Linked DNA regions of Styela clava. The protein of the gene in region 4 purifies or fractionates together with the protein of the main gene of each other region. This does not show direct contact. Links are inferred from orthologs where the notes say so. Each region holds a gene or a part of one and is shown on either strand. Other genes may lie near its edges.

Region 1 (7,576 bases), on a different chromosome or scaffold from region 4:
ACTAAATATTAAAATTTACCAAGATGCTATCATTGACAAACTTTACTTCAAGAATCGGCACAGCCAATAACAATTAGGAAACAGCAGACCCCGTACACACTATGAATAAAGCATCACGTCCTAGCAACCAGAAAAATCGTGCAAAAGAGCTTGAAGTCAATACTTCAAGCATATCAATGATTAAACCAAAAAACATGCAAATTATACAAGATCAAAGCATCATAGCGTAACATGACAATATTTTGTTAAATCATGGTGAAACAATAATTGATAGTAAGCAAAGAAACGTTTGTTTTTCCGTGAATCATTTAAGAATATAGCAATATGGTGTTTGAAAAGGCGTATGAATTTGTGTCTCACCGTGCATTATACATATGTCGAAATTTTTATTTTGGGGGAGGGTGGCCTTGAGGGCCATTCCCCCCCCCCCCCACAGAGAAAAAAAATTTCAACATATTCCTAGGTTGACACATAGCCAATTAGTAAAACTTGCCAAAATTAACATATAGCAATTTCAATTTCATCCAAATGTAATAAATTGAACAAAAAAAACTCACCCGCTATTGAAATCCATGTCCACAAAGTGTTTTGCAATTATTCATTGATTCATCCAAAGTACAAAAAGCTAAGCTCAAACAAAACACACCAACTAGTATATACAGCATGCTTTAAAATAAAAATAAAAACATCAGCAATCATGCTTCATAATTTGAATTCAGAAGATTATTACTTAAAAGGATTTTAATTCATCATACAAATCATAGTTGATATTGCCTTTCATACTGCTATACAAATACAGTGAAATAAAATCAAAAATTGAAAAAACTTCATTGCTAGCTCATACAATAATTATGCAGCAAAATAGTCCAAAATAACGGGAACATTTTTTTCTTCCAATCATGAACTTTAAAGAACAAGAATTACAACTTACAAACCACACAATCATTCATATTTTTGGGATACCATATATACACACCGAAAAGTAGGTATATCATGGTATCTACCTAAATCAAAACAAAATAAAACAAATCAACAAAAAAATATCATGCAGAAATAAATTTCAAAATCCAAACAATGACAAAGAAAAAAAAATAAGCTGGCAACAACAACAAAATGACACCACCATACAAATCAGTTCTGTAATTAAAAACCGAAAATTATTTGTCAGCAAAAAAATGATTTGTTCTGAAGACATGCAATGGTGACATAATAATAAACTGGCCTCCTCCAAACATTACATATTAATATGGTAATACTTCAAAACCTAGGCTAACCCAAAGCAATCTGATGTGAAATATACAACAGATGATGTGTTCAAAATGATGCCATCATGGTAACAAACTTTTCATTTTCTCTGTTCCCTGTTATTTTATTTTTCAACCACACCACACATACATGGAAGTTTGTTATATTAATTTTATTAATATATGATTTATAATACGTATCAGTTCAGACTTTAATAAGTAACTTGAAATATTAAATAAACTTAGTGAAATGAAGCATAGTAGAATTTGTTATTTATCGGTACTTGTATTCTGAGAACTTAAAGCATTTTCGAAAACTATTAACAACAAGAGAGCGATGCTCAAATATAAGAACACAAAGTTAAAAACGCTGTAGTACAAGTATGCAATCTGTTACAGTACCGTCACAATGTCATACAATTGTGGAAGACAGTCATCACGATGGCATAAAAATGAGTTCCCCTAATTAAAGATTACACCGCATTTTAGTTAAAATATCAAACAAATAACAACAAATAGTACGGTATAGCCTTCTGGAAAAAATACAATCTCTAACCACTGAAAATTTTAAAGCAATTTGTCTAGTGATTGAAGAGAAAAAATATTTTTTTTCATAATGATAGGAAGAAAAATTTTGACAAAAACATAATAACGAAACGATCCATTGGTCCACTTTGAGTCCAACATTAAAGAATATTACTTCATTGCTATAAAAAGTAATTTCATTTATTAAAAAGATGTTAAATATAAATGTCCTTGTTTATACAATAGAACAATCTGAAATCTCCATGTGTTCTTCTTTTCATGCATCCAACCAGTTCAGTTTTGTAAAGAACTGCCTTTACAGTAAAGTTTTTTCTTTGAAATGGTGATTTTCAAGAAAAGCACAATCTCTGAAAAAGTAAAGCTGTCTCAAATAATTTTTCAAAGCAGTCAATTAATCATCAAGCCAATGTTTCAATTTGTTTTGTTTTTTTATCTCCAATTCCAAGTTCTGCTCAATCCATATTGATAGAATTTCATAAACCTACTATAAATTAACTTCATTCAAATAAGCAAGTGAATCAAATATGCATTTGAAACCACAATGCTTTACCTTCTTTACCCTCAGCCTTTACAATTCAGTCAATGTCTAACATCAGCATATTTCATGACGAAAGATCCATCAACCACCTAATGCTGTTGATTAACGTGAGAATCATTCATTTCCCACTTCCTCCTCCATTTCTTCTGCTTCATTCTCCTTGTCCTCAGATCCGGGACCGGGAGGAAGTTTTTTTACGATTTCTAGAATCTCGTCTATTTGTTCTTCAGAAATTCTTTCTTCATTTTCTTCCACAATTAGCGAAATTTCAACAGGGGTCGTAGGTCGTAAATTCATTATTTGAAGTTTTTCTGCTTTTGACAAATTATATGGTGCCAATGCAAGGCATGCATCTTTAATGCACTGTTCATTTTGATTAATACATGGTGTTCCCTCCAGATATTTAAGAACTTCATATGTGATAGTTGATAAATTTTGATCTCTTTGTCCAGTTTTATGTTTCCCTGTTTTCATTTCTGCAGAATATGTTGTCAATAATCCATGCATTTCATAATTGGATAACATCATTGGAACTTTATCTGATATTACTTCCATTTTTTTACACTTTTATTGATATAATATATTATTTAATAGTAATACTATAAATCTGAAATTAATAAACAAGAATTCAGTTCAATTTCGGTAACCTCACTCAAGTCGAGAAATCATTCTTCATAGATTGAGTTGCAAGCAATCAATGCTGTATTCAGATTGCTATCTAACTCCCAATAAACATTCTGACAACAATGGCCAGGAGTTCTGGAAATAGATTTTGCACGAAATTTGCATTGATCTGAGTGAATACTGTGAGACAAATGGATATTAAAGAGTAATGTTAAAGGCTTAAAAATTATTGTACAGTACAGTAATAGCAGATTGGGAAAAAATACTCTTGAAATAAGTTGTTTTCTTGGGGTTACCCTGTGTAACACATAATAATTAATTCTCCAAATACAAAATGTCCACATATTCAAAAGGTATTAAAAATTTCTATATCGTCAACTGCAACTCACCTAACTGCTGACCTACTTAGTCTGTTAGTGTAAACTCAAACTGTAATATTAGTTGTAAGCCAGTTTCTGAGCTCACCACAAGGTTTCAGTCTTCGAGTTGCTGAGTCTGTGAGTTGAGATTTCTTTTATGCCGAAGAAAACCAAGACCATATACTGAGATATACATGTTCCAGCAGTCAATGTGCCTGACAAAGAAACTGGAATGACAGAATGAGGCCTATGACTGCAGGACTGTCTGACTGCTGCCTGCTGGACTGTCTGAGGGATACGGTACCGTACCGGTATGCGAACTGACGAATTCCATTTTTCATTGTTCCATTTTTTGGTTACAAATGCCTGAATACCGGTACTGGAATACTGAATACCGTACTGGAATTTAATTTATTGATTACTCACTTTTCTGAATTACACTCATATAGACTGTACCGGTACCGGTACCGGTATTGGCGGTATACCGGTACAGGTATAGGCTTGTCAGCTTGTAGACGGAGAAGTCAGAAGTCACCATCGCTACCAGTGAAATAGGCGAGATGTCTCTGGTGAGTTGTCCGTCAGCGTCTGAGCATATTGATGTTCTCACAAAGATGTCCTGACTGCCTGAACTACTAGTACACTAGTAATTGATGTTTACTGCACACTGATACAACTGGGCATCTATATTTTTCTAACCAAATGAACAACCAAAGACTTGCCAAAGACCAGACTCATCTGAAAAACAATCGTAGTGCAATGAGTCTACAATAAGAAAGTAGATAAAATAAACAGGATCTTCATGTTTACTCATGAGGAGAGGGCGGACGAAAAAATAACTCTATTATATGCAAAATTCATTTCTCGTCATTAATATAGGTAGAATATTGGTATATTTCATCATTTAAATTTGTGAATCTGATTCATGAATGATTCTATTGTCCCTGGTAACCCTTCTCTGAATTGTCTTCCTGCGGATTTGGAATTGGCAATTGAAACAAATGGGAATCAAAAGTATTGATTGGTCTACAGATTGACAGCTGAAGAACTAAGAAACATTACACAAATTCAAGAATTCCGCCATAAAGTATAAGCTGTGACGAATCCCCCGGAAGAGGCTTTATTTGTGGGATTCATTTACGTTGAGCTGGGCGGTTGGCCTAACAAGGGCAAAGGTCGACCCTAATTTTGATTTGATCTCTGGTTTGCGAAAAGTGGCTTATCTGAATAGGTACTGGACATTTTATGTATATAGTGTATAAACATCGTGGAAAGTTCAGACGCCCGAAATGAATTTTCAGAGTCTACCGTTTTAGTCTTTGTTTACAATTATTTGTGCGCGTGCGCGTTCCCTACATAAATACAACAAATTTTTATGTAACATTATTTCTCCATCAAAAATATTGCACATATGATAACCACGGCCACAAAATTTTTGTAGTTTGTAAAAAAGGTTGCCCTGTTCTTCTTTTGATCAGTTATTTCACATTAAATTGTTTTCAGAATAATTGCCCGATTTTGTATCGTGTGTGGTTATTTCGTTGTGTGCTTTAACGCTTTTGGTGGACGGGCGCGAAACTCTACGTTTTTAACTCTTTCTTGATATATGCTCGGCTTCCAGATCCTGCATTTTGTTTGTCCGTTTAGTGTTGTTTTGTTTTATAGCAGAGCGACCAAAATAAAATTGATTGATGAATGCGGTTTATGGTGAGTGTGGTAACCGGGTTGCGAGGACATGACAATCAGCTGGACATATTTTGACTCAAACATAATAGAAGCGACATTAACACACTGATAAAGCATGAACAACACATGTAAAACCAGCAATATCTAGTGAAAATTTTAAAAAAAGGTTCAAAGCGCAATCAAAAAAGTTCATGTGAATATGAGGATGAAAACACGACTGGATTACATATTATTTTCATACTTACACATTTGAACCATACACTAAATCAATCAATCAATCAATCAATTTTATTTCGGTCGCTCTGTTATAAAACAAAAACAAACGAACAAACACAAAACAAAGAGGACCTGGAGGGCGGGCATAACTTAAAGAAAAGTTAAACACGTGAAAATACGCGCCCGTCCACCAAAAACAGTCGAATAACACAATAAAACAAAAATACACGATACAGAATCGGGCAATAACTTCAAATAAATAAATTTGTGAATAACAGTGACAACAATGAGTTTATTTTAAGGGTCTTCATGTAACCAGAAAATGAAGTGATTGTAGGAATAACACTACAAATGGTAAAGGAAAATTGTGATTAGAATAAACAGGTCGCTTGAATGAAGACTTTGTTCGAACATTAAATGACTGATAAAAATTGTTGAAAGAGGTGCTTTTGGGTGTTGACCAACTAAAAAAATAGTGTTGTGATGGTGTGGTGTTTATAATAAACTATGAATCCTTTGGGACAAACATATACTCTCTATAACGGTACCGGAATATAACAGATATGTATCAGAGTAAATTTGAAAAGAAAAGTGTAAACGAATGAATAAAATGGACAGTGAAATTCGAAATATCTAAAGAACATAGGGCTATCAGATTTGAATACCTTCGGATGTTTGCAACGGCCATAGAGCCAAATTGACAACCATCTCAAATATATGTAGCACATTAGGCTACAAGATTGCCAATTCTGACTTGGCTCAAAAATACATCTAGCCGAAATCTCACAAATATTAAAAAGCTATTTTGTATTAATTGCAAGAGTGAATAAGTGGTCTCGCCCTATCCCATTTTTTTACGTTTCCAGTTTATGGCAACGTTGGTTGGGATATTTGGCATTGGAATCCAACAATAACAAGCAATATTATATGTTTTGATGGACATTTCACTTCATTTTACCTATATATACATATTTAGTTACTGACATGGTAATATTTTTATGATAGTTTTTACGTTACATATATAGCGTAACCATTGACAGTATTTTCAAATAAATGACTGATGAAGTACAGTAACACAAATATCTAATTTAATTATATCTCCTGTGAGATTTGAACGATTTCGTTGCCAATACTCAACATCCATTTCAGTTTATTTGTTTTTTGAAGCATTTTAGAAATATGACCTATTTATAACACAGGGATGGAGGTGTTAATAGCGCGCTCATCAATGTATATCTTCATTCTATCGTAGCGTAAGGTTATAAAACGTTTATAGCCACGATGCAAAGTGCGAGGTATATAAACATAATGGTTATGAAAATGGCGAATCGGAACTCATATATATATATATGGAGTCAAACATATCGAACCCAGAACTCTACTAGCGAATGAAAACGTTGCAAGAACGGGAAATAGGGAAAACAGGAAAAGGGAAATAAAATTCAAATGCCGAGCCTATAAAATAGAAAATTTGGAAAAAATGAGAAGCCATCTAATTACTTTTGATAACATTAAGGAACGGAAGCGAAAAACTCTTATTGAAATCCCAATAGAAACTATTAATGAAGATATACTTTTTAGGATAGGATAGGATTTACATATTTATCCCGGGGAGAGGAAAGCCGATAAGACGGCTTATCCATATGGCGAACCACGGCCTCTCGTCCGGTTACCATTCCAAGTCGGGAATGGGATTAGTTATATTGTTTGTTTTCGAAAGCATGGACTTGGTGGTGGAGGAAGCCAAGGAAACCAACCAGCGGTTACGTGAACCACCCAACGACGGCGAGGAGTCCAGCAATCATCTCGCACATAACCATCCCTGCATGGGATTCGAACCTGCGAACCCACGCAGAGTAATTAGAGGTGCGGTGGCGAGCGTATTCCTAACGCTTAGCCCGTTGAGCCACACCGTGGCATAATGAAGTAGCATAATTGATTGATTCGCGCTTTTGGGTAATTGCATAATAAAATTCTTCACTTGCATTATCAGACTATAGAACTGTGGTTTTGCAGCACATGGAATCGTTTGAGAGTTTTAGAAACTAATTTGACGATCATATTTAATTTCGAAACTGTACCGACGCAGTCTTACTGGCTCTAAATATGATGTGCCAGTCATTGAGCGGTCAAGGCAACAATGATGTGGATTGTAGATGAATGTTGCATTTATGTAGAATGAGACGACGAAGGTAAAACAAAGGGGCTACTTAAATTTGACAGACATTAGCTGCATGACATATTCATTAAAAAAGTACCTATAAATTATAAAGATCTTCAATTTGGTCAGAAGCCCTACCGATAGTGTATATATTAGAGATGAAATTAGCAATTCCGGCCGATTTTCGATATCTGTATCGACT
Region 2 (8,663 bases), on a different chromosome or scaffold from region 4:
CCTGTGACCTTGCTATGCTCCCTGTTTAAAGAGTTAGTTTGTATAATTGTTCAAAAAAACGTATGATTAACAATTTTGTTCCTGTAAGCAGTATCCAGAATATGATCATATTTAATAAAATTGATACACGTGGCTGTGAACGGAAGTTTTAAAGAAACAATTCAAAGTATCTTACAGGACAAACTGCACACGGGGCTCTTGTCATGTCAGTTGCTTCAACAAGAGAATGTACAGCTTTGTATAATTTGTTTGTTCCATCTTTAGTTCCTACAACCATCATTTCTACCTTACTATCATAAATCAAGGTGTTCAATATTGTTTCAATATCTTCAACTGACAACTTGACCTGAAAAAGAAAGATTATTTTTTGTCCACATTCAATTATTAAAAACTATTAATATTACAAAATCATATTTATTATTGTATCGCGATCCAAATCTCAAATACTATGAGAAATATTTTTGGGAAAAAAATCGAAAAAAATCATATTATTGTGAATAATTAAGCTGGAAGCATTATGAAAATAGGCTGTTTCAACCTCTCATAAAATTATTTGTTACTAGTTTAAAACAACCCTAGTTCAAACTACATTTCAAATGATCAACCAAAATTATAAATATTATGTATGGATATGACATGAACATACCTTGCTGATTCCCAAGTTTGAAATAAAATTTAAAACTTCTTCAGAAGATGCATAAGAAGCAGCTTGTCTTGCATTTGGGCTAATAGCAGTCTATAACAACAAAAGTAGTAAGAATAGAATATCACTAAAGCATTCGTTCGCTTGAAAGGAGGAATTTATCAAAGTAAATATCCATGAAAGTGTTACCGTTGATTTGACTACACCGAGCATGGGTTGCAGATAGTACACCAGATGCAATATTTAAATAACTGGCAAATGCAGTAATTTTACCCTTCATTAATTTTTGAAATTTTCTTACTCCAAACCTTTCCAAAATATATGTCCATATAACATATGACATTCACAAGGTATTGAGTACAAGACAAATAACAAAAATGTACACTGCAGAAATATAGTACCACCATAAGATAGGCCTAGTTATTCAGTGTACGAATAATATGAAGTGGTCCCAAACCTCACTTGCAGCGCTCTCCTCTTTTTGTTGAAGAAATTTGTAACATTGTTGATTCAAAACATCAACGAATTCGGATTCAAAATCTTGTCCAGAATACCATGCTCCACCAGTTATTGAACTATCAGGTTCAAGATTGAAAAGCATGTATACTTTCTTTTTAGAAGCCTGAATAAAAATTGAATGAAATTACTACTGTTTGAAATACATATTTATTAAAATAAAAATTTAGGACATAATAAAAAATAAAAATGTTTATTGAAGAATCCCATAACAATCCTACCAACTGAAAGCAGAATTAGTCGCTTGTACTAGTCATGAGTTGAATATGTAAACAAGTCAACAATCAGGATGGATCGTATTTTCAAATCTATCTTTATAGGAAATACAGACGAAGACACTCAAATATACCACGATCTACAGCCTCCAGTTACCAGACCACTGGACCAGGTTTCTTTATGGGAATGTTTTAAAATCACTTTCTTAGATGCTAGCTAGAGAAAGCTGTAAATAACTGGCATAGAGTCCAAAATCCACTCACAGATTTCATAATCAGAAGCACACTGGCAACATGACAGACCTTGGTTATCAGTTATCGACTAGAGATAATTTAGTTTCAGTAAAAATATTGTTGTTCACCTGCTTCTAGATTGATCTCGTTACAATAAACGTGACCAAAGCTGGGCAGGAAATTAATATAGCGATATTTTATTAAACATGCTGTAACCATTTAGATAGCAACACCATGGTGCAAAATCGCAGCCAAAATTGACAAGTTTTACACGATACCAGATTTTTATTACAAAATTCCACCATTCAAATAAGTTTGCTATGACAGATACAACCTGGAATAAGAATAGTCACAGATTGCAGTATTAGGACGTCTCAACAAAAATACAAGACTGCAATGAAAATACCGTGACAGATTTGACAGCTTTGATCAATTTCCTGTTTTCTAAATTCTTCAATATTTTGTTAACTTCCGTCAACATTAAATTACATCTGTGTCGAATATCTCGAATCCATATTCCTTTATTACCAGCACTTTCTATAACTTGATACACAAGTTTATCTTGATTGTCAATTCCTTTGATTTGGCTGTAATTAGTAGAAATGTCTCCCATTAATATTATGCCATGGCAGTAAATCCAAAGTAGCTAATGTCATATTTTCAAAAAAGGACTCTTTGATCCTTTTGACTAGGGGCCATCGTCTGTGGCGAATTTACTTTTAGTTTATTCAGAATCTTGCCAAAAAAGTGAAAAGGCTATTGTCCACCTGCTTCTAGATTGATCTCATTACAATAAACGTGACCAAAGCTGGGCAGGAAATCAATATAGCGAAATTTTATTAAACATGCTGTAACCATTATGATAGCAACACCATGGTGCAAAATCGCAATCAAAATTGGCCAGTTTTACACAATAACAGATTTTTATGACAAAATTCCACTATTCGACAACAAAATGATTCTTGTCAATTCCTCTTTTCCAGCTGTTTGATACTATGGTAATACATATATGTCATACAAAGCAAATAGATTGAACTTGTGTATAATGTTAGTATAATGGGTGACTATATGAACTCTAGACCCATGTTTCGTCACAAACCACGCAAATGGGGAAATCATGTCATAAAAGTTAACAAAACATATATGATCCAAAACCAAGCACAATGTGGATGCAGAATAATTTTCATTACAATCCAACACTCTAGATACCTTGCTCCGGTTGTACATTTCAATCTGTATATCAATCCAGAAGTTCCTTTCAGAAGTTCTATCTTTCCCTGAAAACCCAAGTACAGAACATTTAAGATATATTTAAGAAATCTCCAACAGGTGGGCGAATTTTGTTTTAGTGTAGTTAGAATCTTGGCAAGAAAATCATTGTCCACCTGCTTCTAGATTGATCTCATTACAATAAACATGACCAAAGCTGGGCAGGAAATTAATATAGCGAAATTTTATTAAACATGCTGTTACTATTATGTTAGCAACACCATGGTGCAAAATCGCAATCGAATTGACCGACACATTCACAAATAATTAATGAAATTTTATATTAACAAAAATTATACTGAATACTACAATGTTATATTTAAAACAAACCAACCATTGTAAGCAACTTGTTGATTGCAGCAACTCTTTCCTTTGAGTCAATTTGAGGTTCTTTCTTCTGAATGAACTCATCACCGATTCCTTTAGGATATTCAGCACACATTGCCAATATTCTAGACAGAAATATAACACTCAACTCAAATTTTATTAATCATTGATAACCATGCACAGAAGAAATATATGGTTATAATCAGGAATGACGAAAATTATCGAAAACCGCATTATTTGCAGAATAATTAGCAGTATCTGTCACTTATTCTTGAGTGAATAATGGTGTCAAGCCGCCAACAACAATGCATTAGAATGTTGTTGTGATTTAAGATCATAGTCTGCTCAATGAAATCAACTCAATATGTTCTTTGAACTGGTATAAACATACCACTACCATACTATGAATTTCAGAGATCCTGTTGACAATAACTCTAAATAAAGAAGTACTACCTGTCTTCCAATGGCAGTCCACTACCCTCTTGCATAGTGACTTCCATTGCCATGATGAATGAAGTTGTCTATAAAATTATTTTATACATACATAGCCTATGTAGTTCAGTCCATGTCAGATATTAAACTAAAAAGTACAAAACCATTGCAATTGATATAGAACAGATGTTTCAATAAACCAATAAATCTGATTATGCTGGATTTCTATGATGATCATAAAGGTTTCTGGAATCAAGTGATGTGCATTTATTTTATAGACAACAGTATTGGTCAAACATTTAGATTTTATGATTTAAAAATATGATGACAGTCACAAGGTATCACAACAAGCAGATTCAAACAACATATAGATTATAATGTCTGGCACAACAACAAAAAAATGCAGTAGCTAAATAAAGAAATTATGAATAAGTTTCAGCAGCAAATGATGCAAAAGAGACAGCAGAGTCCAGTGGTGCAGCCAGGGGGTTTTCGGGGCCTGAGTTGCCATGGAACACATTATAATAAGTTGGAACTATACCATAGTCACTGAAGATAAAACAGTCAATTATGCATGCCATCAGTTAATAAATTATCGTCAGGGCCACACTCAATTTTTTTTGGATTATGCTGATACTGATGTTCAATCAATTTTTTATTGTACTAACATAAACTGTACTGCAATTTTATCACAGATTTTGTGATTTTATTATCAGCAATAACAAATTTGCGTGGTCGCAAAAATATGAATCCAAAGTAAAATCTAATTGTAGAATTCATATCACATTTTTATATCCACTGATTGCCATGGTATTTTAGAGTTCAAATACAATGTTATTTCTATGTGAAACGATGCAACCGCAAGATACGTTAACCACAATTTTAATGAGTAGCATAATCGCATCAATTGTTTCCTCATGCGTTACATGGGTATTTCTGACTCCGACCCCGCCCCACCCCCCCCCCCCCCACTCTACGCTGCAAAATCCTGACTGTGCCCCTGGGGATGTCTACTGCATCCTCAATTTATAAAACGAAAAGCCAACGCAATAATGCATTGGCAAAATAGGGACCACGTCAAACAAAATAAATATGTGTAAAGAAAACATTCCATACTAGTGCTTTCAATTGCCTGATTCAATAAGTGAATCGCAGTGTGAGCAATCAGAATAGTCTACAAAACTCCTAACTGTTATACTTATTTACAGTAGTAGCCTATTATAATGATTCTCAAATAGTTTTAGGAAACTTCCATCTCTCTTTCTATTCCAACATATTTTACTGCATCAGATTGACTGTAGCTGTAGTCGAAGAACAATTCCTCTCCTGCTTGTATCGGGCAATTTGAGAAAATTCCAATACGATGATCACCATTTACCATCATCACTTTAGCATAGCAATTAGGATGAACGGAATGATTGGCAAATCTAATTTTGTTTCCTTTACGAGTGGCATCCACAACAAAATCATTATTGAGATTAAACAGAAAGCTACACATGTATTTATCGTAAACTTTTCCACGACGATCTGCCTCATCCTGAGATATAATTTCTCCGCAATATTCAGAAATGAATTCATTTTTGTTGGGCACATCTTCTTTTATATAAATTCCCCATCCGGCAACATCAGATGGAGCCAAAAGTAGATGCTTATGGAGACCTCTTTGTATTGAAACATTCTTACAAGAACATTTACTTGCATTTGTGCCGAGCTGGTCAGCACCACAAAGAGAGCAGAGGTCTGGATCACACTCTCTCACTGCAAGATAACATGGGCATTGCTTGGTGTTACATTGAGCTTTACAACGACATCCTGGAAAGCGATTATGACAATCAGACGGACATTGGCAATACTTTTCGCAAAAATTTCCAACCATAATGCATTGACAATTGCTGTCGCAAGGCTGTCCTGGATGATTACAAGGCTGGTAATTGTAAACATGATTGCTGGACGAATCTCGTTTCAGTTGTATTCTTCTAGCATGGAGAGACCAAAGTCTGTGCTTCCTTTTTTTCTTTCTGGGAGAAGCTGAATCTCTCAAATCATGTTCATGTGGATGAGGTTGTGAACCGCTGTCATGTTGCGAGCGTGTAGCTTCAAGTAATGCAAAGGCATAAACTTCTTGGCAAGATTTAGTTTTAATAAGTTTCGAAATCGAACAAAAATTGTTTGGGTAATTTGTTCTTAATACCCGATACAGAGTTGACTCTGCTCCATCCCATATAGTTTTAGTCAAATTTTCAGGAACGAGTTCAAGAAATGATGTCATTGATTGTGTTGTAGGTAGTTTTTCAGTATCTGTCGCATCTGTATCCATCTCACTCTCACTTGGGGCAGGGGTACTAGGTCGACTTCCACTGCTGCTCCCACTTCTTCCTTCGCCTTTAAGCTGAGATTTCTTCTTTGACAATCCTCTCTGCAAATGTCTGTGAGGTTTCTCTGATATTTCACGATAATCTTGTGCACCTTCAAGGTGTTGGAAACAATCAGCACCACAAGGTTCTGTAGGTGTTCTAACATCTTGAGTTTTTCGTTTACTCGTTTTAATAGGTGGTCTATAAAGATGACTGTGTTGAAAACAATCATATTTGTAACAGCGTCTGCAAAATAATTCATGAAAAGAATGCAATGCTTGCTCCCTTTGTACTGATTTAGCATTTGCACCATCGATATTGGGAGTGCATTCAGGAGGTTGTGCATCGGGATCCATCAATTCAGTCAGCTCCTTATATTTATCTTTTAAATCTTCACCTGAACCTTTATCAGGAAAATAATCAGCAATAGCATCAAATATTTCATCTGCAGGAAATGTGTTTGTACCAGAAGCAGATGACGAGTCTGAATTTTTATTTTGCTCCGCATCTGCAGTTTCCTTCTCTTTCGCTGGATCTGCATCTTCATTGCTTGATTCGCTTGTAGTGTTGTCTTGTGATGCTTCATTTGCAGCACTATCAGTTCTGTAACGACTTCTCAAAGGACGACGTTTACGACTGATATTATATTTATTCAGTGCATCAACAAGATCAACAAATAATTCATCACTTAGAAAACCACCTTCTCTGTCCCCATGCACTTTACCATCATAATTCATAATCAACTCTTCTAAAAAACTTCCATCTTTATCCAAAGCTTCGTCCCCCATATATGGAATGTTATGTAGAATTGTTTCATCTTCAACCATGAAATCCTGTTGAACTGGGACCCATGTATAATAAACAGGAAGACTTGGCACAGCTTGCAGTGTACATAAAGGAACAGACTGATCACGGAAAGCATGAACACTACTTTTCACTGTACAGCATCGAAGGAATGGTCTATTTGTAAAAACCGGTTCTGAATCTGGTTGTTGTACTTTGTACTTTTCATTTGTTTGTTCCAATTTTGAAATTCTTTCGTTCAATTTTACTCTGTTATTTATGAAAGCTTGTTTAATTTTGTCACTACGTTGATATCTCTTCGCCGATCTAAGCGTGATGTATTCACTTCGTACAATTTTTTTCCAATCCATTTTGTTCTTAACTAATTAACTAAGCAGTGACACAAGCTGAAAATAACAAAGAAGCATAGTTCAATAAACTTTAAAAAATAAGCTAATATAGCCGCATACCTGTCAAGTGAGACAAAATAACAAAATAAACGGAAAATTACTACTAATATAATCTTGGTGAAAAACAATTTGTGTCACAATGCAGTACTATTTAAATTTTCCAATTTGATTTTTTTTTGCTGAAAAATATATGCTTTTCAATTCACCAAATTCTTATTACAAATACATAGAACAATCCATAAATTCCATCTTAATAACATTGACAGATTATTGAAAACCATACCCATATAAAAACTGTTTCAATAATAATATTCTAAATGAAACATAATTTAAAATTAGTGGGGACTCATTCACTACTGTAAAGTTTGACCCCAATTGGGAGAAACAAAATGATGATTCTATGTCAATGCATAATACTATAGCCTAGTACACAGGTTTCACAATCAATTCTAATTTTCAAGATTATTTCGATATGATGTGAAACAAAAGACAATTGAAGTTTTAGAGATATAAGTTTGATGAATATAACTATAATGAGAGGAAAATCATCTTTCTTCCATTCTGACTTTCGGAGGTTTGAAAGGTGCCCTCGTGTCTTTTTTCTTCTTCTTTTTATCCTTCTTAAAATTTTGCCAACTGGAAACTCTACCTTGACGACTTTCCTCAAAGTTTTTATCCCATTCTTTCTGCTGCTTCGCTTTTTCTTTTTCCTCAGCTTCTTGTTGCGCTTTCCTTTTTCTTTCATTCATTTCTCGAGTTTCCATCTCTTTACGAACAATCGCCATGTCAGCAAAAAGTTTACAAGTTTCTTTGTGTAGTTCTGATTCATAAACATGCGGATCATCTTCTGGTATTTCAGCAGGTTTTCCTTCCTTTTTCAATTTCTTCCTTTTTTCTTTCAATTTCGTTTCAAGTCGTACTTTTGCATCTGAAACTACACCTAAACATTTTTCTCTTTCTTTATCATCATTTAGTAATTCCCATGCTTTTTTGACAGCATCAAATGACTTTTGTGCGAGCTCTTTTTGTTCTAAATTTTTATCTGGATGAACAAGTATAGATAAGCGTCTGAATTTCTTCTTAACATCTGGTAGAGGAGTTTCTGGCGTAACTTGTAGAACATCATATGGATTAAGATTAAAATAAGTTGATCCAGGTCGATTTAAACGATCAATCTGTTGTTTTGGTGTTAGTACTGAATCCGCGGCTTCAATTCTTTTCACTTCGGACATATATGTATTGAATGCATCTTCAGCCTTTGGATCAGAACTGGTTGAAGCCATGATTAAGATTGAAATTCACCTATTTACAACATTAGCTGAAAATGTAATTGAATCATTAGGTTTTAACTTGCTGACTTAACCAATCACAGAATCAAATAAATCTCAAACAAAAAGCATGGTCCAGATGAAGTTAGGAATTACACCAAAATATAGTTGATAGTACTGTCACACTGCAGTACATGCATCATGTTGAATTC
Region 3 (8,065 bases), on a different chromosome or scaffold from region 4:
GTGTGGGTCATAGACGGTCCGTGTTAAAATGCCATTTTACTTTATTGACTCATGCTTGATCATGCATGAATAGATATATAATGCACAATAAAGTTAAATTTTTATCGGTATGATGAATTTTTAGAAAATTATTTGCGTGACTATGGTACGAAAAAATATGGTGCTTTGTTTTTATATATGAAGAGTAACACTATTGCATTTGAAACCAAAGTTACAGAACTTTTACAGTACTTAACATTATTTTTATCTACGAGTCATTGAAAAATATGTGTACTTGTTATTTTATCTAATTATCATGCACACTCAAGGCATATTGTTGATATTAAGCAGAGTAGTAAGTAGTTCATATTATCAAATTTGCATTTTTCTGTCATGAAATTTTTTAAAATCGAAACCGTATGAGAGCATTCTATGTTACAGCTGAGATCTATCTAGCTGATAATACACTATTTTTGGTATGGTACAAGCATGATATGAAGATGTTACTGATAATGTTTACAATAAAAAGTTTAATTTTTTTTTTTTTTGTTTCAATTTTTACTTTGCATATTACTGATACTTAAAATTTTACTGATTTCGATATGCTAACAAATCATGTATGCTTTTTTATTTTGCTAATATTATTATTAAGTCTAGTACTGATAATAATATAATACTTTTTTTTCTATCAATTAAGTCATTTTTTAGCATTTTTGGCTTTTTCTATTTGTAGTAATATTACATCGCTTTCTTTCATCTGTTCCATTTAACGACCAAAATTGCGCAATTGCATTCCGATTGGTTGGGAAATTGATGTAATCAATGAAAGAGTGATATACAAACAACTTGGCTTTCTTACCATGTTAAGAATTGTGCACCATTCAATTATAGTCCACCACTCGCACCTAATGCACTAGTACATTTTAGATTTTTGGAATAACAAGTGTTCAATTGAATCAAACAAAAAAGTGTTTAGGTTCGACTTATAATTTTCAATTTTGTGAACAGGATTAGTCTTTTTTGGACGCTTGCATTGTCCTAGACACCATTCCACATTTGTATTTTGTTTGGTATGTTTATGACTAAGACAAGTCCCCTTCCATTTATCTCATAAAACAACCAAAAGGTATAAGAATAAATGCATTCAGTTCAGATTTTAGTCTAGTTTTTAGCGTGTATTCGGTTATTAAATGACAACATGACCTAGGACATTTGTTTGCAAAATGATCATATTCTTTTTTTTTTGTAAACATTGATACATTATATTTTATGGTCAAGGCATGACATGATATAAACATACTTTATAATTCAAACACATAAAGGCCATCAAGCTCATTAGAAGATTTTTCCAGTCAAGTCTAAAAGTCTTTGATTGGATGTGCATTTTCATCAATTTTGGACTGTTTTTATAATTTTTTTTTGGTGTATTTTTAGTATTAGTTTGGTTACTGGACTTGAATTGTTACTGTTAGGCAAAATACAGAGAATAAATTTTTGTCCTATTCTGATGAACAGAACAGCAAAGTGTTCTGTCCTATCTATGAAATATTTCGTATACATTATACGCTCTTGATTACTTAAACATTTTATATTTCTCAAATTTTTTTTGGTTGGACAGTATTGAATTGATTAAAAACTGTTTTCCATATTGTATCACAAACTACGAAAGTTTATTTATATAATCAATATTTGTTGAATATGTGGCATTATGGGTTAATTCAGACTTAATAAAACTATATCTACTATTGTCTATTCAGTTTTATTCCAAAAATAAGAGAAAAAATTATTTTAGTATCAAAAAAATATATATCATAAATCAAACGAAATTTTTGTCATGACGTGTGGTATTTCATTGCTCCTTTTTCAATATATCATTTTTTTACTTCTGCCTATTCTAATGAATTTTCATGAATTGCTTAGCTTATTTCTGTAATATATATCAACTAAATATACTAATTATGATATAAATCAATGAATTATCTCCTTGTGTTATTTCAACAAAAGGAATCTTACAACCATCAAATTTGACATGACTGTATTGAAAATGTATTCAAATTTGCTGGGGGATGTTACCCAATGTAGTGTTCCCTCTGTGAGATTGCCCTATTTCAGAAGTGGTCATACGGTATCGATATATTGTTATCCAAACTTGTTATGGTAAAGAAATTATGATTGGTTATATCCATCATCTGTGGTCTTTTACCAGTTATGTCCAATTTTGATGGTGTCTATATCTTTTGTCGAAATAGCCATTTCAAAATTATTTTTTTATGCCATGTTAAAAAATCAGAATTCTGTAATTTTTATCTATGTAACATTGCCAATTTTATCATCATCGATACACATTTTAAAATAGTACAAAAGTTTTGCAACATGGTACAAATACGAACGTTGTCTATTTTCATTTTGTTGTTCTGAGATATTTAAGGTGAATGGAACTCTTTCTCACCCGTTATCAGCAAACTGGTGTGGCGTATTCTGCTGAGCGTTAGGAATACACTCGCCACAGCACCTCTGATTACCCTGCATCGGTTCGCAAGTTCGAATCCTGTGGGGATAATTATGTGGGAGGGTACGCCGTGGGGTGGGTGGTCCACCTAACAACCCTAACCGACATGGATTGGTAACTGGACTAGAGGTGCACTGATACCGATATTTCAAAAAGCCAATAGTCTGATACCGGAACCAGGTAGTTATTACTATTAAGTGTGAATGGCAGACTGGTTAAAACGATGGTGTGTGAGCATTATTCATAATGCACAATATTTCAGTTCGAAAAATAGGTATTCGGATGCATTGTGCACTGACGCGAGTAATCTCGGTGTTCAATTAGAAAACTGGTAGGTTTGGCTACTATTGATGGTAGCATGAATAAATGTTTACTCATCCTATAAAACTGATACATCGAGTTGCGTGCGTTGGATTCTGTGCCAATATAACATCTTATTTCGCATTTTACACATTGAAAAATCCACTAATATTGATTGATATATTTCTACTTAATTTGCATGTAATATTGAAAATGTCATTGTAAAACTTTGGCAGCGAAAATAGCCAAATTAGTTGAGCTAGTTTGGTTGATAAATAGCTAAAACAGGTCGAATTCCTATTCCCTTTTCTACTTGTGTGGGTGTGAACGAGCATAGCCAGAGTTAACGAATTACCGCGGACATGATCCCTACACGCAAAAAAATAATAATTTCAACATCCGTATTACAACTAATTTTAAGACATTTTGAATCGGATTAAAAAGCTGAATATATCGAAAATATCGGTCTACATTTAGCCGATACCGATACATCTCTAAACTGGACGAGGCCGAGGGCATCGATTTCCGTAACAATGACCAATCAGCAAAAAGTCAACGATGACGTAACAGTTGAAATTTGTGACCGCATCTCTGATTACTCTGCGTGGGTTCGAATCCCGTGAGGATGAAGGGATAGTTTTGTGCGAGAGGATTGCTGGGCTTCTCGCCGCCGTGTGGTGGTTCACGTACCGTAAAATCGGGTAACTTTGGATGGAATTATCAATCGTTTATATCTCGGCTGAATTGCGATTTTAAAATAGCAACGACTAAAATATATACATCAAAAGTTTTCTGTGGATCTTAAATTCATGGCGTCAACCACTGATAATTTAATTAATTATAATAAAAATCACAATTAACGAAAAACATTTTCATTCGATTTGATGATTTCAAATTTCTCCATTTGGAACGGCAACATAGTTTAAAATAGAAAAAATCGTGAGAAGTCAAGAAATACTGCTTAAATATAAAAAAATATATATAACCAGCGAAAAATAACAACAATCATTGTTGCAAGTGAGTTCAGGTTAATGAACCCTAACGAAAGTAATTTAATTTAAAGTTACCTATATAGACCATTCAGTTAACCATGAATAGACCTTATTCATTAAAATCCCATCCTACGCGCAAATAGAAAAGTGATGTAAACAAAACAATTTCACATTAACTCCTAAGCGTACAAGAGCTATCAAAACAATATCGGCTATGATCGGGGAATATTTGGATCTAAAGTTACGATAAGAGAAAATACCACGAGACATTTTAGTATGAAAACAACTTGAAAGTGCCGCACTGGAAAGTTTAAGGTCGATAGATAGATAATGATTTATTTCCGATACAAGTACATAATACAATAAGCATGAGCAAATAACAATAAGCATCCTTATCCTTATCCTTATCCTCGTCCTTATCATGGCGACCGGGATCGAACATCTAGCATTTACGCAACGACGTAAAGTGTGTTTGGTCTTTTTAATCACGCACTTTATATGATGTATAAGTCTAATATTTTTTTTCGAAAAATTCAATTTTAGGTGGGATCCATTTTCTCAAAAGAAATACAGTATTATTGAAAATAAGAATATTCCGCGTGGGAACCGATTGTCAAACCTCAAAATGATTTTCCGATGCCACAAAAAAATTGTCACATAATCATCATAATGCTGTAGCACACCGGCTGTACGGTATGTTAATCGTTGGGCTGTACTGGAGCTGTGAAACAAATGCTTTAATTTTTATTTTTTTGAATTCCCACTACTGTACTACCTCATTCACTTTACAGACATTTCAATTTCAACATTTGCTTTAACCTTGTAAAACATATTTACAATAGGCATGTTCTGATCTAACTATCTGATTCAACTTTGCTATTAGGGTTCTCATCATTTGGCAATGTTGTTGTTCTGCCCTACTTGCGGGAATTTGTTAACAGTCGAGGAGGGGACTAGATGTTACAGGTACTGCACTTTATCAATAGATTTCTAATTATATTTTGAAATCCACATTTTTGCATTTATTCCTATTACTGTATTACAACTACTGATAGGTAACTCAGTAACTTTTGGATGCTGGAATTATAGCTTGTCGATTAAAAATACTGAAATAGAATTTTTTTGCTTCTATTGGTTTACTGACCTTTCAATTGAATTATTCATATTCTGTACTGGAATGTCACAATTTTGGATATAATTTGAGACTTGAAGCAAAAATGTGATGTTTTGAAATGTTGTTATTAAGTTGAGTTCACATCATACCAAGTTATTGGCAGTATTGTGTTTTGAATCTGATCTAATACCAGGGATGGCTAAAACCGAACATAATTCGCTTTACAGAAAACTTTTTGATATGATATTTGCCAGTATGAAATATAATAATTTGGATAAAAAGGAATGACGTAATTTTTGGATGACGTAGTCAGGTGGGGGTTAGAAATGACATATGCGAAAATAGTTATGCCATGCCAACTGGATATACTTGGCGGTGTTCAGTGAACCAGCCCTCTCGTGCTGTTTGCATTTTCACAATATTTTTTTGGTTTCAGGTTTGCTTGCCCAACTTGCCCATTCATTCATAATATTAATAGAAGAATAAGCGCAAGGAAATATCCAAAGTTAAAGGAGGTGGATGATGTGTTAGGTAAGTGTACCAACTACTAATGTAAAAATTTCTTATGATTATTTCGAAGTTCACTAAAAGTCCTAGAGTGTATGCGTAATAGGGTAAGAAACTTCATATCAATCCGAAGTGAATAATCATATGTGGTATCCTATCCATAGCTCAAGCCAGTTTTGTAAACAGCTAATCAATTAACCATATTTGATATAGTGATCTGAAATGTGTTGGGTATCTATTAATACAGTGGCCGTGATTGCTTTGTTTGAACATATTTGTAATGCATTTTTTCCAGAGATTGGAATCATTCAATAGTGAATATTTATGTATTTCATCTTCGCTAATAACCTCATTATGTAGATAGGTATGAATGTCTATATCTGTAGACCAAACGTAATCTCACAAAATTTTTTATGAGATCACACTAGTTCTCATGGTGTCTTTTTCAATATAATGTCTTTTGTCAGATTTGTCTCTAAAATTTCCAAGTGTCTTTTTTAAAGTATTAATATTTTTGAGATGGGTTTTATTACCATTCATATACTTAGTGATTCTGAATATTAGAGTTTGAAAGATTAATCAGATTCATTTTATGATGTTAGTCCCAAAGTTATTCGAATCCAACGTAAGCGGGGAAAGTATTTACATGAGATAGGTCTTCTAGACACCACGCTGCCCGTGGGTGGTTCATGTAACCACTGGTCAGTCATGGCCTCCTTGCACCATCATGGCCATGCATCTGAAACATCTGGTAACTTAGCTAGCCAATCCCATACCCGACAAACTGATAATCAAATCAGAGGTCGTGGTACGCCATTTTATTAATCAATCATCCACTTTCCTTTCCTCTCCCTTCGGATAAATATGAAATTCCCATCCTGTGTACTCACAAATAATACTTTTGAATCCCCTTTATTTTGCAGCTTTTCATTCGGTTTTCGATGTTGCAAATCTCATTGTATATTTTTTATTTTAAATTCAGTCATTCACATCTCTTTGGTTTTCCAGGTGGATCTGCTGCATGGGAGAATGTTGATTCAACAGAAGAGACTTGTCCAAAATGTGAACACAAAAGGGCATTCTTCATGCAAATTCAAACTCGATCAGCAGATGAGCCAATGACAACTTTTTATAAATGTTGTAAGATTGAATGTGGTCATCGTTGGAGGGACTGATTTGGTCAATGTAGCACAAAACGATATGGATCATCTTGAGTCGGGAGGGAATGATATTAGAGCAGAAATTGGAAAATGATTACTAAGTGGATGTCAATGTGTGAAAATAAGAATCTGAATTCTTCACAATGCTCAAATTCATTAATAAGTTACAAGCTTTTTATAATACACCTTCATGCATCACGAAACTTGTATTAGAGTAGAAGGATTCACAGTTTCCATACTGTAAGGTTTCCAGTTTGGTATGGACACTACTACCAGCTTGGGTGAGGTTCTGATTGAAAAATTCTCAAATATCATCTTGAATCTCTCTATCACTTTTTGTAATGAAAGTCCGCAATTAGTAATAAAAACAGATAGTTACTTCATTCAGATAACATAGAACGCAACTTTCGTAATTAATATTTTTTATATATATTAGAGACCAAAATCATAAGTGCTAAGGGCCCACAAAAGGTGTGACATGGCCCTAGCGATAACAACCTGCTATTCTGCTGATACAAACATGCGTGGTAAGGTTTTCAATTTTATCTTGTTTTGATTATGATTTATATACGATCGATCGTGGTAAATCGTCAAATTTGATCTGTTATTGATTCCTTTCCATTGCAGTCGATTGGTTGTTTTCAAGATATGTAATAGAATCCCAAGGATATGCATTTATTTTAGTGGAATAGAAAACTGATTGACCATACCTATCATTGATTACCTTACATTTCATCAGAAAAAGATGGCGTGTGCCCTCTACGCAGTTTCAGAATGAATATAAAGGTACATCATCATACGCACAATTTGCTGCATATCATCTGTAGTGCTTGCGATAACATATTTTATCTGGTCCGTGTAGTCTGGTTGTCCATCAGCCCTAAACAGCTATGACAGTCACTGTACCGAAAGTTGTACCCTAATTCAGGTGGTGTTAAGTTGACGCATGTTATTTAGTAACGTTTTTATGTGAAATGTTTGGCTGTGGTACCTGATACATTACATAATTGACTTATAGCACTAGATATTTCAATTGATGTTTCAATATAATCAAGAAGAATGAATCATTGTCACAGGACCTAAAATATCCATGACAGTCCTTGTACCGTCACGGTACCCCAATACAGGTACTGATAAGTCACCCATATGATTTTTGGAGAATTGTCTGCGTGTCCATACATTTGAGAATTGCTCTCTTGTGTTGTTCTTGTTCATTGACACGTTTTGAAGAAATCGCTTTTCTCTTTGAATACTGGACCGATTGCTTTGAAATTTTCAGTGGTTTAAAGATGGAATTATTTTCCAGAAGGCTATTACTTTTATTTTTTGCTATGATCTAATCTAAATTATGTGACGCTACGTGTCCACATATTTGAGCATAGCTCGCTTGTTCAATTTCAGATAACATGTCATAGATAATAACCAGCTTCATTATTATTATATATATATATATATGTAGGACTCTAAAATCGTAAGTGCTTAAGGCCTCTAATAGCATGATCCG
Region 4 (5,852 bases):
ATGGGAAATCTGAATAAAATTAGGGCCTAGCCCTAACTACAGGAGTACTCTTTAACGTACACTATTTTAATAATATGCATAGTGCATACAATCAAAAAGCTCAGCAATGGGCGGCGATTACCGTCATACTTTTTAAAAAAAAAATTAAAGGGATAAAATATAATAACATGTTATTATTATTCATTGTGAATGTTTCTCTATACTATTTAGAATGATACAAATTGCATTTGAAAAAAAAAGATAGCTTTACCTTGATTGTCCATGTTATTTATACTTAATAAAAGTCAATGTCTACCCTGTCAGCTTTTATATAAAGAAAAATTATTTAATAAAACCTACAATACAAATACAAGACAAAAAGTAATTAGGACAACATATGATTGAAAAGATTTAATTTCAAACATTATTAATAATGATCGACTGTCATAAATGGATTGAATCCCAAAATATGTTGCATTTTACATGTTAAAAAGGTAAATTCTGCAAAATATAACAGATAGTGTTTGTAACACAGCCAATGTCAGAGCACCATAGACAGCCATCCCACGATTAACAAAATTCCTCCGTATGGTGTTATGGGTCGAATTGAACTGTCTCCTGTTATTGATTGGTAATAACAACTTCCACAAAACACAAGCATTCCTGTAGTCAGTATCGCTCCAGTTAGTAATGGATATTTGCATCGGCTCACTGCCAGAAGAGCAAGAGTATGAAAGAAATGTTGTCGATTTGCATTATCAAATATAAGTTTTCTGTGCTCATCTTCTTTATGTATACCATGTGCTCCGTATGCTGCTAATCCTACTGCAGAAGCACCAGATATTCCAGCAATTCTAACAAACAATCGACCATAATAAGAAGCCATCTAAGGAAAAAAACACTTTTTTCAACCTCCCAGATTATTCACAATTTAGTGGAACACATTATGACACAGTTTCTGTAAATAAAAGTCCATATGAAATAAGCACACAGAAACTCACACTTATCTTGAGACAAAATATGACAAATAGGTGCTTACAATTCGCAATAACTTCACAAATGAAAAGTTATAACATACAATGCTGCCGTATATTAAAAAATAACGAATATGATCATGCCAGTTTTATGCTCTGCAACAAATATTATACAATAGGTTTCTAACATCATTTAGACATCAGTTACATTGATCTGATACCTCAGGTTTCATATAAACAGTAGAATATTCAGATATTGCAATGATTCACCATTGTCCGGATTGAAAGCTGACCTATAATTTCACAGTTTCGTATTCCAAAATTCAAACATCTTTGTCCATACTTTACAATTTTTATGAAGTTGAGCTAATTCAAATTATTTTTCAAGTGGAGCGTAATTCAAAAGTTTTTCGATAAGATCAACATGAGCCAGTAACATGCGACGACAACAATATCGTTTCAGTCCAAGGGCATCTAACGCATCTCCTTCAGTGTATTCAGCTTGCAAAAGTCCGAGATAAGCTTCCCATTTATTTCCAACTACTTTTCCACATGTGAAACATCTTATAGGAATAATCATGCCTACTTTTAAATGGATCTGTAGTTATAAAGTTAATCTGAATAAATCATAGGACAAAATTCAAAAACAGGTCTCTCTAAAAACAGGCACTTGCGAATTCAATCACTTTTAAGATTTATTTTTTCATTTTTTTCGTAGTTTATTGGGGTTTGAGTTTTATTAGACATTGAATAAAATTGCACCTTCTATATCGCAATATTCCTTTCAATTCAATAATGTATAATTGATATTTAAATAGTAAAACATGGCAATTCTGAATACTTAATGAAAACACCAGGCACTTGTCAAGTTTCAGGCTTTTTCTAAAAACCTAATTTTGTAAACAGTTTTGTATACTCCACCCTGGTATCACACACACCCACCCTCCTTGCACAACTGTCTGTATAAAGTCCATATTATACAAATTTGATTTACCGTATTACAATTTCAGAATTTATACATATCAAAAGCAAAAGTGCATACATCCAGTCTTCAGTATTTATAATTACTAATCATTTTAGGCTATATTGCTTTTACGAGACGAGTAAACATACATACATTGCTTAATGTTTACTTTAAAAAACAAATTGAATACAGATAAATGCATACAAATTTTAAAGCAACTACAGAACTAGTCCGGTATTTAACAACAAAAACAAGAATTCTAACAACTTAGTACCATAAAACAATTTATAATTGGCTTTTAAAATAGTATGATGAAAAATGGTAGCCTCTCTCTTACACTGATAGTCTTTCGCAGCCACTAGTCCAATGCAGTTAAAATATTGTATGTTTTTCGCTAAATTTATCTCATTTTCATTTTTTTTTCAAATGTACAATATTTGTTGCTCGACCAAAAAAATAAGATCAGAATCTAAATTTGAGTAATTCAATTATAAGACTGAATTAGAATTCATACAGACTTCCAGTCGTAGAAACTGACATTAAAATGTTAATTCAATTCAAATACAGCAAGTGAGTCTCTTTGCATCATTCAAAATTAGAATTTGAACACAGGCTGCAATAGTGAAACAACCTATAAAACGCTAGGATTGAAACTATGTCTGTATGTTACAAAAACAAAATCACAGTGGAAAAAAACAGGCAAGCCCCATTGCGAAAATCAAAAAGTGTAGTATAAGTTTATTTGACTCAGTTTATTTATGCACTTGCTGAATTTGACACGTCCTATCAGTGAGAATTCTTCAATTGATCCGCGATATTTTACCCCTAATATTCAATGTCAAATAAATGTAAAAGGCGAGTTGATCGACCGTAGATTGTCAAATAGTATTACTCTTTGTATTATTAAAAATGATAAAATTGTCATAGAATAAAGAATTTCATTAAAAAAGAAAAGTATAGCAAGTTCTGACAAAAAAAATCTTTGAAAAATATGGTGAAAAAATACCAACTTTTATCGAGAAAAATCAGTCACTTGCAAAATTCGACACCTATTCGCCAGTCACAATAGTTTTTGTTTTTACAAAAAAATATGTAAATTCAATCATGCAAAATCTGTATATTCCGATGTTTGCCCTGAAAAAGTATTGAAATTACTCATATATCTGTATATTTGGTAATTAATACGGTACCCGTTTCTTTTTTTTTTAACAAAAAATTTTAAATTTAATACACATAGAGTCCCCTCCCCGTTATGCGATCATTTTTACCAAAATGCTTCTAATATGCTTTGTATTCACAGAAAACACTTCATTTTATCATTAACATACTCTACAAATCCATCTCAATCACTTCCCTTAAAATCATGCCGGTACCGTGACCGGAAAACCCTTTATACCGCCTCTACTTTCACCATGTCAGTGGGGCAATTGCGATCAACAACGTATATTTGGGACAACACTGAAAGGCTGAAAGAAGAAACGGATGAGGTGGAGGAAAAACGGAAGTTGAGGTGTTCCCGAAGGTGAAAAATTGGAAAACACTAAAAGGCTGAACACTAAAACGAGGCAGTGGAAGAAATTTCTTCCGAGGTGGCTGAAACCACTAAAAAGCTGAACACTAAAAGGAAGAAGTGGATGAAATTTCTTCCGACGAATAATGAGGTGGTTGAAGTCACTAAAAAGCTGAACACTAAAAGAAAGAAGTGGATGAAATTTCTTCCGACGAATAATGAGATAGTTGAAGTCACTAAAAAGCTGAACACTGAAAGGAAGAAGTAGATGAAATTTCTTCCGACTGGTGTTTATGTGGTTGAAGTCACTAAAAAGCTGAACACTAAAAGGAAGAAGTGGATGAAATTTCTCCCGACGGGTGTTGATGTGGTTGAAGTCACTAAAAAGCTGAACACTAAAAGGAAGAAGTGGATGAAATTTCTCCCGACGGGTGTTGATGTGGTTGAAGTCACTAAAAAGCTGAACACTAAAAGGAAGAAGTGGATGAAATTTCTCCCGACGGGTGTTGATGTGGTTGAAGTCACTAAAAAGCTGAACACTAAAAGGAAGAAGTGGATGAAATTTCTCCCTCCCCTCCAATTTTCACGGCTCTATCTTTATTTTAACCTCCACATATGCTTCCGTTCTTCCTGAAATAGAAAAAGAGGTTTCGTGCTCTAAAATTGGTCATTTTCGACCACTAGTGGCGTTTTGACCCAGAAAAATCTCATTTTTGGACGAAATTTGACGCGAAGCGAGCTGTAGGTAGGCGAGTAGGTATGGATTATGTATACCGAGCGGGAATCTATCACTATTTCTAGTTTGGCCAAAACAGGGTGCTGAAAGGTTGTGATCGTAAATGTGACGTGAACGAATATCGGGGAGGGGACTCATACTCTACTCAGATATGCACCCAAATGACACTGCCCCAATGCATGTAAATACCTACATCGGAACAGACACATCTACCTGCATATCTGAGCTTTCAATAATACCAACAATTATGGGAGGATTGCACTATTAAATTTGCACTATTAAATCAATACCCGTACCGTTACTCCTTCATCCCACTTTTTAAAGAAACAGTTTATATAATCTTTAGCGCCACGCTGTGGATAACCGGTTAATTTCACTCTCAGCCCCAGTTACCGTATTTTCATAGTTAACTTAATAATATCAAATAATAATATACGCTGATTATTTGGTTTCTGCAAGACTACTTATCCTTCTTCTATGCTTTTGTGCCGGTGGATCCGTATGCATATATTGCAAGGATGCTGTAGCAAGAGTAGAGATAACAATCCTAAGTGATCTAGGAGTCTTGCTGCACACTAACAAATTCATGAGACTAACGATGAGACCAAGCCTTATTGCACTGTATTCTACACTAATAAATAGGACACCCGGGGGACGGTCGCTACGCTACCCGCAAGGGGAAATGTAAGGAAAAGATTTGAGTATAAAAAGTGGATGTTTGATTATGAGTTTGATCGTAAATATATACTAGGGTTTGATGGATGCACCACGGTCGTTGCGCCGGAAGAATGTCGGAATTCGCCCGGCGCGCTGCGCCCTCCTTCTTTAGTCCATTAAGTAATTTAAATAGCACATCATAAACAGGTCGCCCATAATGACAGTTAATTCACCCCAGTGAAATTTTTGCCTGTAACACATAGGTCACTTAATATAGTTCGCTCACGCTTTTTTCGTCTTTGTTTATTTATGTTACACAGTTCTCTCGTTACGCTTGAATGTTGCGTCAAGGTATTCTCTCAATGCGATATTGTGGCGCGTGTAGGCCTCAGTTATCTGACTAACTATGTGTGGATACTAAGGAATACTTGTTATAAAAGAAATAATTTGAATGAAACAGAGAAGAAGCTGTAACGGACTTTTCCCCGACTTTTGACCCTCGAAAATATTCTTCCTATACTTTAGCATTGCAAAATTTTCGGGACTTATTTTATTTTGAGAGTGGTTTCGAGTAAAATGGGGTATTTGTTTCAAACCATCATTATAATTCATTGCATACAACATTTTGTTTTCAAAAGTACCTGCAAAGAATTTAAGCCAAGTCTATGACAGCTTTTTCTACACTAATTTTTTATTGCTGCAATTAAATTAAAACTCCTAAGAAGACAAAGTGATATTTGAATTATCTGATTTATATTTCCGAAACACAACTGAAAACTAACGAATAAAGTTCAAAAACGCGGTATGTTTACGACCACGCTCGAAAATCTGTCTTGAGCGAGAAAAGTGTCTGCAAATCCAGTTAATTAGTCGGACTCGGTTCAGGTTTAATACCCACGGGCCCGGGTCGGACCTGCAAATCCAGTTAATCAGTCGGGCTCGGGTCGGGTTTATTTTGGGGCCCGATCTTACCTTTACCAGCGATCGCTGTTAAATATCATGATTGGCAGACCCTTTGGCGTCAACGAGTAG

Evidence for each region.
Region 1: the proteins of DNA-directed RNA polymerases I, II, and III subunit RPABC5 (region 4) and DNA-directed RNA polymerase III subunit RPC9-like purify together in Homo sapiens (affinity purification with mass spectrometry; 3 studies listed by BioGRID and IntAct, with this or other methods). This does not show direct contact. The link is inferred for Styela clava from reciprocal best matches to the Homo sapiens genes POLR2L and CRCP.
Region 2: the proteins of DNA-directed RNA polymerases I, II, and III subunit RPABC5 (region 4) and DNA-directed RNA polymerase III subunit RPC6-like purify together in Homo sapiens (co-immunoprecipitation; 3 studies listed by BioGRID and IntAct, with this or other methods). This does not show direct contact. The link is inferred for Styela clava from reciprocal best matches to the Homo sapiens genes POLR2L and POLR3F.
Region 3: the proteins of DNA-directed RNA polymerases I, II, and III subunit RPABC5 (region 4) and DNA-directed RNA polymerase III subunit RPC10-like purify together in Homo sapiens (affinity purification with mass spectrometry; 3 studies listed by BioGRID and IntAct, with this or other methods). This does not show direct contact. The link is inferred for Styela clava from reciprocal best matches to the Homo sapiens genes POLR2L and POLR3K.

Annotation. Positions count from the first base shown.
Region 1 is NC_135255.1:9,168,359-9,175,934, forward strand, and holds DNA-directed RNA polymerase III subunit RPC9-like, read right to left. Parts: upstream 2,944-7,576; 5' UTR 2,884-2,943; coding exon 2,443-2,883; 3' UTR 2,341-2,442; intron 2,138-2,340; 3' UTR 667-2,137; downstream 1-666. UniProt on the Homo sapiens protein: DNA-dependent RNA polymerase catalyzes the transcription of DNA into RNA using the four ribonucleoside triphosphates as substrates.
Region 2 is NC_135251.1:26,464,124-26,472,786, reverse strand, and holds the start of DNA-directed RNA polymerase III subunit RPC6-like, read right to left. Parts: upstream 3,800-8,663; 5' UTR 3,711-3,799; coding exon 3,658-3,710; intron 3,330-3,657; coding exon 3,212-3,329; intron 2,886-3,211; coding exon 2,818-2,885; intron 2,196-2,817; coding exon 2,015-2,195; intron 1,266-2,014; coding exon 1,101-1,265; intron 737-1,100; coding exon 647-736; intron 347-646; coding exon 176-346; intron 1-175. Other genes in the region: histone-lysine N-methyltransferase EZH2-like, read right to left, coding at 4,877-7,144; dnaJ homolog subfamily C member 8-like, read right to left, coding at 7,729-8,466. UniProt on the Homo sapiens protein: DNA-dependent RNA polymerase catalyzes the transcription of DNA into RNA using the four ribonucleoside triphosphates as substrates.
Region 3 is NC_135259.1:10,998,906-11,006,970, forward strand, and holds DNA-directed RNA polymerase III subunit RPC10-like, read left to right. Parts: upstream 1-4,528; 5' UTR 4,529-4,681; coding exon 4,682-4,746; intron 4,747-5,330; coding exon 5,331-5,425; intron 5,426-6,409; coding exon 6,410-6,576; 3' UTR 6,577-7,721; downstream 7,722-8,065. UniProt on the Homo sapiens protein: Core component of RNA polymerase III (Pol III) which synthesizes small non-coding RNAs using the four ribonucleoside triphosphates as substrates. Can mediate Pol I proofreading of the nascent RNA transcript.
Region 4 is NC_135252.1:12,675,157-12,681,008, forward strand, and holds DNA-directed RNA polymerases I, II, and III subunit RPABC5, read right to left. Parts: upstream 1,599-5,852; 5' UTR 1,534-1,598; coding exon 1,330-1,533; 3' UTR 866-1,329; downstream 1-865. Other genes in the region: nucleoporin NUP35-like, read right to left, coding at 251-263; transmembrane protein 256 homolog, read right to left, coding at 521-865. UniProt on the Homo sapiens protein: DNA-dependent RNA polymerase catalyzes the transcription of DNA into RNA using the four ribonucleoside triphosphates as substrates.